Mytilus edulis: one gene and its partner. The protein of the gene in region 1 interacts with the protein of each later gene in a pairwise test. Links are inferred from orthologs where the notes say so. Each region holds a gene or a part of one and is shown in the gene's direction. Other genes may lie near its edges.

The links. The genes of interacting proteins can lie anywhere in the genome.
Region 2: the proteins of kinesin-like protein unc-104 (region 1) and liprin-alpha-1-like interact in binary tests that used the Caenorhabditis elegans proteins (3 or more experiments, as listed by UniProt). The link is inferred for Mytilus edulis from reciprocal best matches to the Caenorhabditis elegans genes unc-104 and syd-2.

The regions. Positions count from the first base shown.
Region 1 is NC_092356.1:26,930,916-26,939,539, forward strand, and holds the start of kinesin-like protein unc-104, read left to right. Parts: upstream 1-5,239; 5' UTR 5,240-5,309; intron 5,310-8,624. Other genes in the region: uncharacterized protein, read right to left, coding at 1-75. UniProt on the Caenorhabditis elegans protein: Motor protein involved in microtubule-associated anterograde transport. Regulates the transport of synaptic vesicle precursors in the axon of DA motor neurons. Regulates the polarized sorting of axonal proteins.
Region 2 is NC_092350.1:37,967,162-37,975,850, forward strand, and holds the start of liprin-alpha-1-like, read left to right. Parts: upstream 1-5,362; 5' UTR 5,363-5,698; coding exon 5,699-5,938; intron 5,939-8,689. UniProt on the Caenorhabditis elegans protein: May play a role in regulating the structure of the neuronal region, called the active zone, from which synaptic vesicles send neurotransmitter signals across the synapse. This may be in association with the liprin-beta protein hlb-1.

The DNA.
Region 1 (8,624 bases):
ATTAATTATTGTCCTACGTCTTCTTTTCTTTAGAACGAAATGTTTGTTTCTCCCTTTTGGTTGAGTAGTCTCCATTTTGAACCCTTTTTCAACTGGTACCCTACTGCCATTTTGTACCAGTTTTATAGTACAACCCTTTTAAGGTTTTTGGTAGGGAGATTCTCAAAAGTCATTATGAATACGCAAGTGTATAAAAAGTTAACTAACAATTCAGTTTACCTTATAATTCCCTTATAATTAATTGATTGAGTGGATGGTTGACGAGAATGAATGCAAATATTTGTTTTTTATATTTTACTTCAAAAGATATAAAAAAGAAGATGTGGTATGATTGCCAATGAGACAAGTATCCACAAAAGACCAAAATGACACAGACATTAACAACTAAAGGTCACCGTACGGCCTTCAACAATGAGCAAAGCCCATACCGTATAGTCAGCTATAATAGGCCCCGATAAGACAATGTAAAACAATTCAAACGAGAAAACTAACGGCCTTATTTATGTAAAAAAAAGAAATGAAAAACAAAAATGTAACACATAAACAAACGACAACCACTGAATTACAGGCTCCTGACTTGGGACAGGCACATACATAAATAATGTGACAGGGTTAAACATGTTAGCGGGATCCCAACCCTCCCCCTAACCTGGGACAGTGGGGTTCATATGAACCAGCAATGTTGAAACTGTACCAGGATGCGTTTCATACGCTGTTTGATGATGGTTGGTATTTAAATATTTTTGGACGTGAGGTCCTCAATCATGTACCTAATCATTATGCCCCCACTTAGCTAGGGCATTATGTTTGTTGGTCTGTGTGTCCTTTCGTTCATCTGTCTGTTTGTCCCGCTTCAGGTGAAAGTTTTTGGACAACCCAGGTAGTTTTTGATGAGGCTGAAATCCAATCAACTTGAAACTTAGTATACATGTTCCCTATGCTATGATCTTTCTACTTTTAATGTCAAATTATATTTTTATCCCATTTTCACAGTCCACTGAAAATATAAAATGAAATGAAATGGTCCTTTACAAGTCCTATATTATAGTATCCCACAAAGTTGTAGAAAGGCCCGTGGCCTCCACGTCTTTACATGTCCCAAAAAATATGAATAGTGAAAAGGGATGGATAATCATCTACTACAGTCAGACATAAGTATTCTGGTTCCCTTTTTATCTCACCTAGCCTAAGGAGGTAAGTTATAGCTTTTCTCACCACCCAAGGCGTCCGTCATCAATTTACTTGAACTTGAACAAAAAACCTCTCCTCTGAAACTACTAAGCCAAATTTAATAAAACTTGGTCTAATCCATTATAACAAGGATTTGTATAGTAAGTCTTACTATACAAATCCTTGATTATAAGGGTATCTTGTTTATAAAAAAGATTTCCAACCAACATGGCCAAAATATGTCTAAAAAAAAGAACATCGGGGTACACACAATGCACTTTTTTGTATTATCTTAAAAACCGCTGATATAGGTTTGATGGGTGCTTGTCAGAAATGTTCAAATGATGAGATTTTCTATTGCCTGTTTACAACAAAACTGTCAGAAGAAGTTTATGTCCTTCAGTGACGAATTTTACCATTTTTTTTTTATATTTTTGTATATTACCATGAAAATTGTAATAGATAGAGAGAACTTCAATGAGCAGAAATGATCAACGAGACTATATCTACAATAAGGTAGCATGGTCATGGTTTTTATCAATGTTTTTCAATTTTGTCGAATATCTGGGAAAAAACTATAAATAGATAGATAATAGATACGTACGGCTTAAATAAGCAAAAATTATCAGCAGGACACGAGCGATCTCTTCTCTTGGAGTTATTGTCCTTTAGTGACGATTATGACCAAAATTTGCCTTTTATTTGAATATCTGGAAAGGCTATAATAGAAAGATAGAAACTGAAATAAGCAAAAATGATCTGGGTCAATATCCCTAATGCGCCTCCAACAGTTGTGTGTAAACAAAATATCTGTGTGTTGTGTGTGATATTGGACGTGTTTGTGATTTTTAACAAGTGACTGATCTTAATCATTTGTGTTGATTTGGAAAGTAGAGGACCATTGAATAAATTTGTAAAAACCATGGAATTATCAAATGTATTCAAAGTATTAAAGGAGAAGGTCCAGTAAGACCTCTTTTTGGCCCCAAAATATAGCAGTTTTACAAAATTGTTAAAATGTAAACTGTTCGTTACTTATTTGAAAAGACAATGTTTCTGCTCCATAAATATGTGCAGTTTTTGACAATACAATGCACATATATCAGGTATTAGCATCATAAAGTCATGCTAAATTACTGAAATTTTCATAATTTTAGCATTTTAATTAAATTTTAGACGGTTTTCGTCTAAAAATGAAAGTGGCCGCAATTTTGTTCATTCTTAATAATGAAATGTAAGTTGTATTTGATGATAATACATAACATATGATGAACACGGATGCGGCCACTTTCAATTTTGACAAAAACCATCTGAAAAGTGACATTTTTTGGCATATTTGATAGATTTTCCATATTAAAGCTTGAATCGGAGCGTTTTTAATGACAAAATCAGTTAAAATCTTTCAGATAAACTAATTGAATCAACTGAAATAGACACTTAAGTGTTTAAAAAGTGTCCAAAATCTTTCTTCAGATGAACCTGAAATTTGAGGCCAAAATCGGCCCTTACCGGACCTACTCCTTTCAAAGAACTTATCGTGTAAAACATTAAGGGATTTTTCACCATAAAGAGCCGCATCACGAAAGGATTTTCGAGGTACAAATGTATGTTAATTTACGGGAAAATGAATGACACTACGTACCCTGAAAATTAACTGACCATATACTGTAAAAATGTCTCAGCTTCGATTGACGAGCCATCATACATATCCAGGTTTAGGATACGGACTGAGCTGCGGAAGAAAACATTACCATCACCGCCTATGGAGAAAAAAAGGCAACAGTAGTATACCGCTGTTAGAAATTCATAAATCGATTGAAAAAAACAAACAAATTAGGGCTACAAACTAATGCTGAGGAAAAACATCAAATATAAGAGGATAACTACGACACAACAGAAACACAACACACATAGAAACGAACTATAATATAACAATGGCCATTTTTTTGACTTGGTACGGGACATTAAGAAAACTATGGTGGGTTGAACCTGGTTTTGTGGCATGCTAAACCTCCCACTTTTATTGCAATGTTAAATATAACATTAAAATGACAACATTACATGACGGGACTACAATACAAATAAATGGGAGAACATATAGGACAGAGAAACATACGAATAATAGCTAACAAAAGGTACCAGGTTTAAAATTTAATACGCCAGACGCCCGATTAATAGTCCACACAAGACTAACCAGTGACGCTCAGATGAAAAAAGCCAAAACCAATACAAAGTTGAAGAGCATTGAGGACCAAAAGTTCCAAAAAGTTGTGCCTAATACGGCTAGGGTTACAATTGTGCATTTTTCACAATCTGCAAGATAAGATCTACCATTTTCTTTATCTTAATTTATTTTATTTGTTAGTTGTATTTGTGTGTGTGTGTATTTATTCAATTCATCATATGCTACCTCAAACAGAATCTACTGTTGGCACGTGATGTTTTTTGTTAAATAGATGGTGGGGGTTTTTTTTGGGGGGGGGGGACGGATTTGTATAAGTTTTTCCGAATCCCATATTTGAACTTCATGTAACATTATTGTATTGTACAGTATAATTTTATTCTTGTAATTTTTCATTAATAAATACCGTTTAAACTAAGATATACTAACAAGTCTTCTGATCGGCTGTTGTCTGCTCTTAGTCTATGGTCGGGTTGTTGTCTCTTTGACACATTCCCCATTTCCATTGTCAAATTTATTCTGACCGAAATCTCCAGCTCACTCTTCGTTGGAGTTGTTGCTCTTTACAATCTTATCAAAATAAGTTCACATCACTTGCTCCTCGATTTTTTATATATGAACTTATTTTAAAAAGATTGTGCTCTTTACTAAAAAAAATTATACATTTTTAGTGTTCTGCCTCTTATAATTATAGTCTTTCCAACTATTATCCATATCATAGATGGCCACTAAGAAATCTAAATTTACTGGAAGGCTATATATCACAAAACCATGCTCATTAATGACAATATTTACCAATATTAAACCTTTTTTACTATTATCTTGAAAATTGTCAAAGATAAATATACACTTAGGCCGTTAGTTTTCTCGTTTGAATTGTTTTACATTGTCATTTCGGCGCCTTGGCTTTTATAGCTGACTGCGGTATGGGCTTTGCTCATTGTTAAAGCCGTACGGTGTCCTATAATAATAATAGTCCTGATAATAGTTGTTGATATCTGTGTCATTTTGGTCTCTTGTTGAGAGTTGACTAATTTGCAATCATACAACATCTTCTTTTTTTTATACTTTCAATGCAATGTAGCAAAATTATCAGCACGGCAAATTTTGCCGCAAATTAGTCAAATAATATTGAAATCGTTAGTAGACTATTTATAGGTTTAATTGTGGTAAAATAACCATTTGCAAGGATTTGTATAGTGAGACTTTTGAAATCCTTGCAACTTGTTACCCCTTTTTTGTATATTGGGCAATATTAAAGAAGACAGAGAGAAGCTGTAACAGAGAAACAAAAAAGATCAGCAAAACTGACTACAAGATCAACAAATTTTTTTTTTTTTTTGTCATGGATTCCGTGACAATCATGAATGCTGGAGAGTGTTCAATAACCACGGTTGGTATATGCACGAACCTTTATAGAGGTACACAACCCATGTTTTTGTAGCCCCAGTTGACGGGATACAGAGCGATATAAGAGGCATGCCATGGGGTGTCAAAGTAGTCACATAATCACATTGTTTTTGCCATGTAATCACATAATCAATTTTATTAAAAAAAAAAATAATCAAGTAATCAAAAATAAAGTCATAGATTATCAAATAATCAAATAATTACTGTATTTGGTCTGGTAATCAAATAATCACTAAAAAGATGGCAGTATAATCACATAATATAAAAAAGTAAAAAAAACACATGATGAGGAGGCTCATATATGGGCGTTTAAAACAAAAATAAACACACATACGGCTTGCTTTGTCGTTTTTCCCTTCGTATTATTACTATATTAACTTCAATCCTTGACAAATATTCGCATGTTCGGTATAAAAAAAAGTCGGAAAATTATACTAGATGAACTTATGAAGAATAATAACTTTGAGATGGTCCCTTGATCATTACCGGAAGTTGTTGAAACGACTGATAGAAAATTTATCGATGGTCATCGCAAATTCATAAAATGGTAACACACAGATTAAAACATTTCACACTGCAAACACACTGATTTATGAAACACATACATGGTCAAGATAACGTATAAGTTAAGAAACAAGATATTAAGCAGAAAGACGGGAGAATTTTTTGACCTTGTCCTGAGGCTGACAGTTGCATTTTCCATCAATCGGTCAATATTCCAAAGAGTTCGAACAGAGGTCCCAGTGTCGGGCTGCCAGGGAATAAGAGTAACATTTTCTGACTTGGAGCCAAACTTGCCAAAATATTAAAATTAAGAGAAGCACTAGTCTATGGGCATTTTCATAAAAGTTTTAGGGGCCCAACCCAAATTTTAGAAGGCACTGGCTACGGTTACATGATGTGAATAATAAAAATATTATTGTTACATTGGGGACTAAATGCCGGAATGCATGGTTGGATAAGGAACCGATTAATTACGAATGTAACAATAATAATTGAGGCTACGGTTACATATTTGCTTTATTGTTACATGAAAAACAGCAATGTTCGATGGGACTGGTAATATGTACTAAATAATAAAAGTTGAAGAAATTTTCTTATATTTACAATACATGCAAGTGTAACATACAATTTTTTGATGTTTTTATAGTATTTCCTCCATGGATTATGAAATCGAACTCGGACATCTCTTAAACTGAGTTTTACTATGCGTAGTGTTGTGCGTTTGTTTTTAGTGGAAGAAGACGTCAAGTCTTCTGAAGACTTAAGGGGCTGACCATTGGCATTGAGTCTCCGTATGCCGCATTCATTTCGTGTATTACAATTTCAAAACAACTTAGATTCCTGACACCGATTTTGATTTTTACACATGATTAGGCATCTGAATCATTTAATTTGTAAATTATGATTGTAAAACAATCACTATCGTAAATATGACCCTTTTATTTATGTAAATTATTAGATTTCATCTCATCCACATGAACGTTATTTGTTTACTTGTAACAGGATGTTTTAACTGTAGATATTTGTATTACGCATGCGTGAATTTGGTATCGGGACAACTCGCCCTGTTTACAAGTTCGCCCTTGAAGTTACGAATTTGCAATCCTGCAGACAAGAAGATTTTGTTTTTATATAAATAAAAAGGATATATAAAGTGTTGTCTTTATTCATGGTTTTCCTTTGTCATGTGAATTAGATGCCCTTCGTAACATACATGTGAACCTCCCCTTTAGGAGAAAAAACTCCCGTGTATGAAATTTTTCAGACGCCATATTTGATCATTTCTTACTACTGTACGGGTGTAATTGACACCTGTGTTAAATTTTACCTGAACATCAAAGAAGATGTATAATTATATGGCTTCACTTGACAGCTTGGGTGTCAAACATACTGGTAATCAACGATGTTTACCTCCGGCTAACTGCCGTTGTGTTATCAAAACGATGTGTATTGGGAATATTGAAATACTTTTTTGTTACTTCCCTTTGTTTTATCCTGTTTTCAGTTATTTTGCTTTAAAAAATGTAAATTGTAAAAAGACTATAAATGATTAATATTTTAATCAAATAATCATAAAAGGATGTTGATTAAATGAATTTAAATGATTTTGGACAAATAAAAAAATTAAAATTTATAAATTATTTTAGCAATCTAGACCTCCTTTCAAGGATTAAATTGAAGTTTATATCATAATTTTGTTTACAACAGAATGTGTTTATAATTAATTTACGATGTTGCAAATATACTTGTGGAGCTAATTTCTTTCTTATTTGTCTATACATTTACAAATGATAAGGAGATGAAGACATGAACAAAAATATATACAGATAAGATATATAAATATAATGATTCATTTGCTAGCAGTGAACAATCATTTGTCAAAAACAAAACAAAACAAGAAACAGATTCTTCTTATTATTTTATTTTATTCAAATAGAGAGGCAATAATGGAACTATAAACATTACAATTTGATGGAAATTTGAAGAAAAAACACAATTTCTACATCATTTGGTTACATTTATGACAAAATTTATGTCGATAAAAAAACATGATGTTTTGACCAATCAGTACTTAACCCTTTCCTCCATAATGACGCTTTTTGACGCCACCCCTTTACTCCATAATGACGCCTTTTGACGCCTGTGTAGTACCTCAGTTGAAACACTTTGACTACAAAGTGTCTGCAGTAGACTCAATAAAATTTGTATCCAATATGAAAAGGAATATCATAGGAATATTCTACTTAAATTTATTTAATGAAATATTTGTTTTTTGCAATGCATTTTAATACTTTAAAGCCTATTTTCAGCATTTTATTGAAAAATTCTATTTTGTGTTCATTTTTTACAGTGGGTTGTGATGATCTTCCAGTTAGGTTACCCTCATTTGGAGTGTTGTTCCCAACCTGTTAAAGGTCCATCTTTGTGCATAATTCAAAATTGGAAATTTCAACAAGCATCTAAAATTCTTAATCTGGAAAATAAACCCTGGTCTGCTAGCTTCATGTATATTTTTTCTACCGATTTAATATATAACTAGAATCATGCAAACAGACTTAAGGAAAAGGCATGTAAGTTCATCATACAAATATGACACTTTTTCTAGACAATCCAGATCTTGCAAAATACGTCCCTAAAAATTGTAACCTTTAAAATTGTTGTGCAGTAAAAACCCATATGGGAACTTTCAAAAGTTGGCAGGTATGTAACAAGTCTTACTATTTTTATGCTCCATTTATGGGCAATATGTTTTCTAGTCTGTCCGTCCGTCCTGCTTCTGGTTATAAAGTTTATGGTCGAGGTAGTTTTTGATGAAGTTGAAATCCAATCAACTTGAAACTTAGTACACATGTGTTCCTCTTGATATGATCTTCTTAATTACTGCCAAATTAAAGATTTTACCTAATTTTCATAGTCAACTGAACATAGAAAATGATTGTATGGATGGGAAATCCATGTACTTATGACCTTTTCTTGTTTGAAGAAAAAAAATACATTTTAACGATAATGGAACAAAGCAGCCTGGGTAAGTGGGGCTGCTTTTATGGTAATTCAAGTTACCTTTTATTCACCTTCCACTTCAGAGCTATCAGCTCTTTGATTTCTACATTGGATAGAGGTATATAGGGGAGGGTTGAGATCTCATAAACATGTTTAACCCCGCCGCAATTTTGCGCCTTTCTCAAGTCAGGAGCTTTTGCATGGCCTTTGTTAGTCTTGTATGATTTTTTAATGTTAGTTTCTTGTGTATGATTCAGAGTTTAGTATGACGTCCATTATCACTGAACTAGTATACATATTTGTTTAGGGGCCAGCTGAAGGACGCCTCCGATGGGTGCGGGAGTTTCTCGCTACATTG
Region 2 (8,689 bases), on another chromosome or scaffold:
AAATGTTTAACTTGTGTACCGTGTACACGTTTTCTCTTTCTTCCGTCTGCAGTACTTATTCTTAATAGACTTTTAATGTACATATATGCTTTTGCGTTCTTTTTTTATTATTATTTCATTGATCAAGATTATATACTAGGTAAAACATGTTTCACTTTGTGTTTATTTCTGGGACTATTATAATAGTCCTAGTTTATTCCTAGCCTGGTTAATGGTAGTCGGTTGATGTTATGGCCGTTTGTGTTTCCTTCAGTAGAGGTGTGAGTTTCAGTGCAAATCGAATTTGAGTTACATATCGCGATTTTTAAAATTATACAAAATAATGAGTCGTGCTCTATTGTATTTCAATATTTTTTTTATATATCTTTAATAATGTCCTAGTTGGTAAAAGGGACTTTGCTTTACTCTAATATGGACCGCAAACTAGTTAGGTACGTTCTGGTTTGATGTTACTGTACAACTAGCCTTACATTCGGATTCTGATGTACAGTAGTTGTCGTTTGTTTATGTAATTTATATGTGTTTCTCGTTTCTCGTTTCTCGTTTTTTTTCTCTCGATTAGACCGTTGGTTTTCCCGTTTGAATGGTTTTACACTAGTTGTTTTGGGGGCCTTTTATAGCTTGTATTTCGGTGTTAGCCAAGGCTCCGTGTTGAAGGCTGTACCTTGACTTATAATGGTATACTTTTATAAATTGTTATTTGGATGGAGAGTTGTCTCATTGGCACTCATACCACATCCTCCTATATCTATAACATGTATTGTTCTCTTCACGATAAAGCTGTTGTTCCTGCGGAATAAGGTTAAAATGATATTGTCTTTGTTTGAACATAGTTTTTCTATGGGTGTCTTGTAAATTAAAAGGAATAAGGAATAAATGAGCACTCACTAGGTAATCCCACCAATGATGAGATTTTGGCGCATCATAAGACCACCATGGCTGCATCGAAAATTATGTTTACCAGCAAATCTGAGGAATTATCTTGTTAGTTTTGGATACCTAAGCTTCACAAAATTTCGTACAAAAAATAGTATATTGCCGCGGCTTATCTGCATTTGCTACAACGGAATTGTCTGTCAGATTGACACAAAAATTGCGTCCGCAGTGAAAGAAGGTATTCAGAAATACTGTGAAACTGTTTACTCGCGTAGTGGTATTAGCCATATCAGGATTCTAAAAAAAATCTAAATATCTTTCGGCTAATTTTTATTTCTATCTTTCTCCGAAATTAGTTATATCAAAACTTTTCAGTTTTCAATCTTGTATACCATCATTCCCGATGTGAAATTGGAAGATCGTCTTAAAGAAATTTTCCACACTCCTTTTCATTATAAAAATGATAGAATACGCTATAAATTCATTACTTTGGGATACTATATGACATTTTTTTTTATAGTGAACAAAAAGGTCAAACAGGTTACACAGAAGAACAAGTGATCAGCTTGCTGGAGTTTCTTATTGACAACATATTTGTTAAAGTTGGAGGTAGACTTTCCAACAAATTATCGGCATTCCTATGGAAACAAAATGTGCGCCTCTCCTTGCCTACCTCTTCTTATCTTCATATGAGTCGGAGTTCCTGCAGGCACTTGTCAAAAACAAGAAGATCAAAGAAACCAGATCATTTAATTTCACATTCAGATATATTGAGGATGTTCTTTCCATTAACAATCCAAACTTTTCTGATTGGATTCATTAATATATCCTCCAGAGTTAGAAACTAAAGAAACAATAGACATGGCTTTCTCCGCCTGATTTGAAGACTAATACATCGAATTTGACATAAAAGGTAATTTCGGTGCCAATCTAATTAAAATATTGATCTCTGATTACGTTATACTCATATGTAGTATAACGTAATCAGAGATCAATATTTTAATTAGATTGTTTCGGTGCCAGAATCTATGACAAACGAGACGATTTTAATTTGAAATTATCGATTTCACATGTATTCAAGATGTCGAGCTTGCTACCCAGACTTTATAAAACGTCATCAGTGTCTGAGCAGAAAGTTGAAGAACCAGGGTTATGTCACAGAACGTGTCGTCCTTTCTCTAAAATAAAGTTCATCGAAAGATACTAAGACTTTGTTGATAAATATTTCGTATTAACTTCAAAAATAATATATATGATGGCCTTAAAGTATAGATAATAGGTACTGACTTGTTTGTTGTGTTCTTTATTTGTCTGTGAAAACAATTAACATTGACTGTTTCTAGATATAAGAAGATGTGATATGAGGAGTGCCAATGAGACAACTCTCCATCCAAGTCACAATGTATAAAAGTAAACCATTATAGGTCAAAGTACGGTCTTCAACACGGAGCTTTGGCTCACACCGAACAGCACGCTACAAAGGCCCCCAAAAATTACTAATGTAAAACTATCCAAAAGGGAAAACCAACGGCCTAATTTATATAAAAAAACGAGAAACAAGAAACACTTATGAACCAAATCAACAAACGACAACTATACAGCGCATCAGATTCCTGACTTAGGACAGGTGCAAACGATTGCAGCAGGTTTTAACGTTTTAATAGGTACCAACAATCACTTAATCCATTTTTGGTAACATCCTTTTGACGTTGCTCGGTATTTATACATCCCGCCAATGTGGTGTTGTCTTTCATTTTTGCTTAAGTGCTTTGCATGTATGCCATATTGTTTTTCTTGAGGAAGAGCAGAAAACAGTCCAAGTTCACCAATGGTTCTTTTTTGTTTGTTTTTTTAGGGATTAAGATTATAACACCATGTTGTCTGCTGAACTGCTATTTTTAAAATGTTCAGTAACTTTGTTTGTGGTTATATATCCCCAACGTAGCTTGTATGATATCCACTATCATATTTTCAACAAACTAGTTATGTGCTTTTATTATCATAGTTCAGTTTCTATTGATTTATGTGATTCTTGTCACATTTTTGTCCTAATCCCTCATTTCCTGCTTCTTTTGTTCCCTTTTATATTATATGCAGTTTTTTTCTTGTCCAGATTCCTCTCATTTTATAGATTATCCATTGTATGGGAAGAGATTCAAGAGCTTATTTCACCATTTTTTTTAATTCAAATTTTCTTTAAAAAAAATAATTACCGTTCCAGGGACTCTAGTTTAAAACTGTACATGGGGATTTGAATTTAAAAATGGATGCAGGTTCTATACATACAACGTATAGGTAATATGCAGTCTTTGGATTATATCTCAAAGATCAAAGTAGTTAGAGCAGGACAGGAATCGACTAAAATTAATCAGCTTGTGAAGTTCTTTGCACCATGATTATTTTTTTTTTAGCAAACTAGGACAACCCAATTTAGAATATTTGACCATGAAATGTACTTTTTAGTAAATTTCATAGTTTGTTTAGTTATTATCTTAAAATCTTTAAAACTATTATGGATAGAGAGAATCTTTTAATAGTAATTCAAGAAAAAGCGGAATGATCGAACGAAATTTACAAATTGTTATATTCTTTTAAAGGTTAAAAACACAAGAACAAAAAGGTCTATACATATAGGTTAACAATCGTCGAATGATTGTTGTTTATAAGAGTTATTGCCATTATAAACGATTTTTAGCCATTTTTTTAACAGCTATAATAGATCATCTCGGTGCATTACGTTTGCGCGCATTACCATTACATTTGCGTGCCAAAATCATTAAGTTTGTGCGCAGCTTTTGATTACATTTGTGCGCATCCTTTTAACAGGTAAACTCAGGTAAAATACAGGTAAAGATACTTATTTATTTATTTAAGAATTGAATGCTTCTTTTTGTAACTTTATTGGGGTGTAAAAGCGTTGACCGAAGTACATTTTGTATGAAGCGCGGAAGCGCTTCATTCTAAAAATGTACCTACGGTCAACGCTAGCTTTTACAACCCTATAAAGTTACAAAAAGAAGCATTCAATACTTATAATTACATTTTTTAGCTATGAACCAGAAACCACGAATTTTATAATTTTTTTATTTAATTCACCTGTGCACTTTATTGTGGGACCACGTGTTATCCTGAATGAAAAGTTTTATTGAGTAATGCAATTGCTTAAGGAATAACATGTGATGTGCAGTTAGCCAATCAGAATAAAGGATTATAATGAAACATACATCTAATGTAATTATAAGGAGATAAAGCCGCATATTTTTTTGATTTTCGGATATAATTCAATAAGTCAAAGGTGTATGCAAAATTTTAAGAAATCTGTGACAAAGCCCATTTATTGTTACTTGACCTTAAGCTATAACGAGGTTTAAAATTGGTTTTAGAATTCAATATGAACAATATATAATTTGAATTAAGAAACTATTTTCAAAAGTAATAATTGATAGTCATATCTATTATGAAAATACCAAAAAAATATCGTCATTTATAATTTAATATATCTTTATTTATATTTTTACCTGAGATTACCTGTGAAATGAATGCGCGCAAATGTAATCAAAAGATGCGCGCAAACGTAAAACATTGTAATTCCCAAATGCGCGTAAACGTACTGCGCCCGATCATCTGTACCCAGAAATGAGATGTGCAAATGGCTGAAATTGCCAACTAACCCCTTATTAGAGTTAATGCCATTGTAAGAGGATATTTACCCTTTTTTATACCATCTGCAGAACTTTGAACCAAATAAATAGGAAAACAAATTTGTTGAGCTGACAACGTATATTTATTCCGCCTAACAGAAGTTCTAATAGAAATTTAACTTTGTTATAAACATTGTCGTAATATCTATTCCTGTTGGAACAAATATTTGTACCAATCAAAATTGACCAACTGCATGCATGAGTATTTGTGGGAGTTACTGCACCAGAGGACATTTTTACATTCTTTGGAGTATTTTTTTATAAACTGATAAACTGGAACATAATATAATTATATACTACTGATTCACAGCCTTGAATAACGATTTTTTTTTTTACTATATACAAGGAATCTGATTTGCATGTATAGCAAGATTCTTACTATAGGCCTATCTATTGTTATTTTCACAGTCATCCCGGAAAGTTTATTAAATAGCTAGAAATTGTAAACAGTAGAGATGGCCATCAAGACAAGAAATACAAGAAGAAACTATATAGGACTGTCTAACAAACAAGCAAACATAACTTTATACGGGAATTTTAAAAATAGTTACATTGTCTAATTTTCTTCGACTAATATTTTTTTTTTATTATATTGACCTATCAAATGGTACCTTTTGTTTTTGTTTACAAATTACTACACAAATTAGAAAAGAATTTATTTCACTGACTCGCAGCTATATATTGTTGACGTAACAGTCTAGATGCATCAATATCTATGAACCAAATATATTTTACTTTGGCCTAATATTAAAAGAATAAATGGTTAGAGTTACTTCCCTTGCGATGACTTATTCCAATGAATTGTGGGTAATGACACACTTTTAGAAAAAGAAATATGGCTTCTAAATAAGATGTGATGGGTCATTTAAAAATCAAAACATTTAGACATGACAAGTAAATATGCATGGAATTTTTGTCATACGAGGCGAAAAGAAAACACCATTCTGTTGTTTGGACCGTAAATTATAGTGAAAATATGTAGTGATAATTTTATAAACCACTAACTAAATTCGAGGATCGTAAGTAACCCGGGATGCTATTGACATCACCGGTAGAAAAACCGATATTTGTTTTATGAATGTCACTTTTGATTTGGATTAAATAACAGGAAAAATTTCAAAATGAGTTGTGATGTTATGCCGACGATTTCTGAGGACGGTTCGAACGATGGCGAGTCGCAGTGTTCGGGTGATGATGCTAACTTTGAACACTTGATGGTAAACATGCTGGATGAGCGAGATAAGTTGATGGAAAATTTGAGAGAAACTAAAGATACGTTATCATTAACACAAGCCAAACTACAAGATGTTGAAAGGGAGAGAGATGCTCTCCAAAACCAACTTAATTCCACTACCCCTCAGGTAAAACATTCAAGTCACGCCCATTTCATTTAAATACATTATTATGTATTAAAAACTGACATCATCTTTTACAAGAATAGATTCAAAACAGCCATTTTGTATACATTAACCCAGCCTTGGGATATTTCATTCATAAAATTTTTACTATGAGATTTTAAGGAAAATGTGTAGTCAGAAGTTAAAGACTTACATTTTACATTTTTTATAGAGTTGTAAATCGAATAATCTTTAAAGTTAGAAATTGATAATAAAATATTATTTCCTTTACATATGAAATCCAATATTTACCAATAAATTTGTGTATTCAAATTTCAATAAACATAATGGAGTTAATGAAAAAAATATTGTTTCTAATACAATTTTTCAAGTAATATGGATTTATTGTTTTTAATTTTTGAGCTTTCTAATACAGATTTTTTGCACTGTAATTGGGATCTTAATCTCTTTTGAGTAAAAAATTTGAAACAGATGTTTTACATTGTTACTATAAATTAAATATCTATCTTCCAAAATTTTTGAGAAATCAAAGAGCCATCTGACTTACTATTTATAGTTAATTGGATTATATAGGTATATTAAAACACCTGCTGTTATTTCTGCATTAATTGGTTTAAATCCAATTGTTGATACACCTGATGGTGTACTTGATTAGATCCTCTATAATAGGATTAACTGTCTATCCACAATTGGTCACATATGCCTGATAAACTCTGATAAACATTTTTTAAATTTATTCAATATATACACAATAAATATATAAAAGTACTGATATTGTATTTAACTAAACAGAAAGATATTGTGCATTCACATATTTTGTAAAATGAAGTTTACATACATTGTACATATATTAAATGCATTAACAAAACATATTAGAAAAGAAATTGATCATGCATTGATTTTGTAAAATGAAAGTAACAAAAGTCATATAATGCTTAAACAAAATCGATATCTTACTGCATCATTTCAACTGATGTTACATTGCCCATTTCCTTTCTCAATTTCATTACATGTACATGTATAAGAAATTTTCAATCCTCAATGAGAATTCCCAAATCACTTTCTGTTGAAGGAAAAGAGCTTCCAGATTCACATATACATGTACATGTACAATTTACAATGAATTTCAAGGGGGTATCATAAACATGATAAAGGAGGCAGTCTTCAACCTATTTTTAAAAATTCATGACCACCATCCTTTCAGACACCGCCACCCCTTCCCCATGCCATCAAAAAAGTCTATGGGGAAACACTTTAATATGTTCCAGAGATTTTTGGGGTTACTTTTGCCAAAATGATTAAATCTGACTGGTGCAGTCATATTATTAGAATTATACATTTTCTACATCATATTTATGCAGAATGATAGATAACGACAGACTGTATTCAGCATTGTTATCTTGAGCGGCTAATTATAATTAAGTACTAAATGTAAAGTCACACCATTAAGCTTAAAAAAGTAATTTTTACTTGAAAACTCTTAACTTTTAATTAATTGCATGTGTGTTACACTGGATTTTATATCGCTGCCTTCCATGCATAATAAGTCCATCAGCAACAGATTTGAAAGATAAATTGAAGATTGATTGGAGTGTGTATTAATAAGGAGATCTACGTACAGTATTGCCAATGAGACAAATTTCCAATAACAGACCAAAGGAAATGAAATATCAAGTACATTTAAATACATGTACATTTTGTAACAACAGACCATCTTACTACCTTCAACAAACAAAACCCATACTTTATAGTAAGCTATAAATGTATATTGTAATTATGGATAACAAAATTTGAATCTTCAGGTATTTACATGTAACAGGGAAAATAAACTTCATGAACTGTGTTTCATCAATGGTCAATTTATGTTCAAACCCTCTTTTGGTAAAAAACATAAATTCTGGAATTCCACATAGACCTTTTTCACTTAGTCTCCTCATAGTCATGTGATAGTCTCATAGTATTCAAATTTTGAAAAATCTAAACCAATTGTCAGAGGTCTTTGAGTTGAAATAGCAACATCCATTCAACTCCATCTTGAGGAATACAAGGAATTGCTCACAGACCTTTATCATGACTACATACAATGTACAAATTTGTCAGATTTAGTACTCTGTGTTATTAATTATAAATAATTATAAGTCTCAAGACAAGTACTGGATTTTTAAGTACATAATGAATGTACAATGTAACAAATCAGAAATTATAGTAAAATTCTGATTGTTGTATTAAAGATTGATGATAGTCATAATTCCATCACTAGTTTATATGGGTACAAAAAGACAATGCGTATGTATATACAGTATTTGGTTATTTAAAAAATGGGAGGAAGGTTTGGTTGTTTATCCCATCTGCCAGAAATATAGATTCCTACACTGTAACAAATCAGAAATCAATGTTTAACACAATTTGTAAAATCTCAGGCTCTGGAACATTATTTGAAAACCCCAATAATAGTTTAAGCCATTTTGATGGTTAAATATGTTTATGGAAGCTGCATTTTGATTATACATGTACAACAGCCCATTTAGATTTTGCTTTTTCCACCTGCCCACAGTGGTCAGCTGATCACCTGTACACACTCTTAGTAGCTACATGTATAATCTCTTTTCTTGTAAAATATTACAAATGCTTATCTTCTTTTTTTCAATTGATTGTACATGTACATTTGTACATGCAAGTCTTGATTCAACAAAAGAAATTCAATGACCATTAATTCCTATGGGTGGGCAGAGTGGACAAGCTAGAAATTTTGCC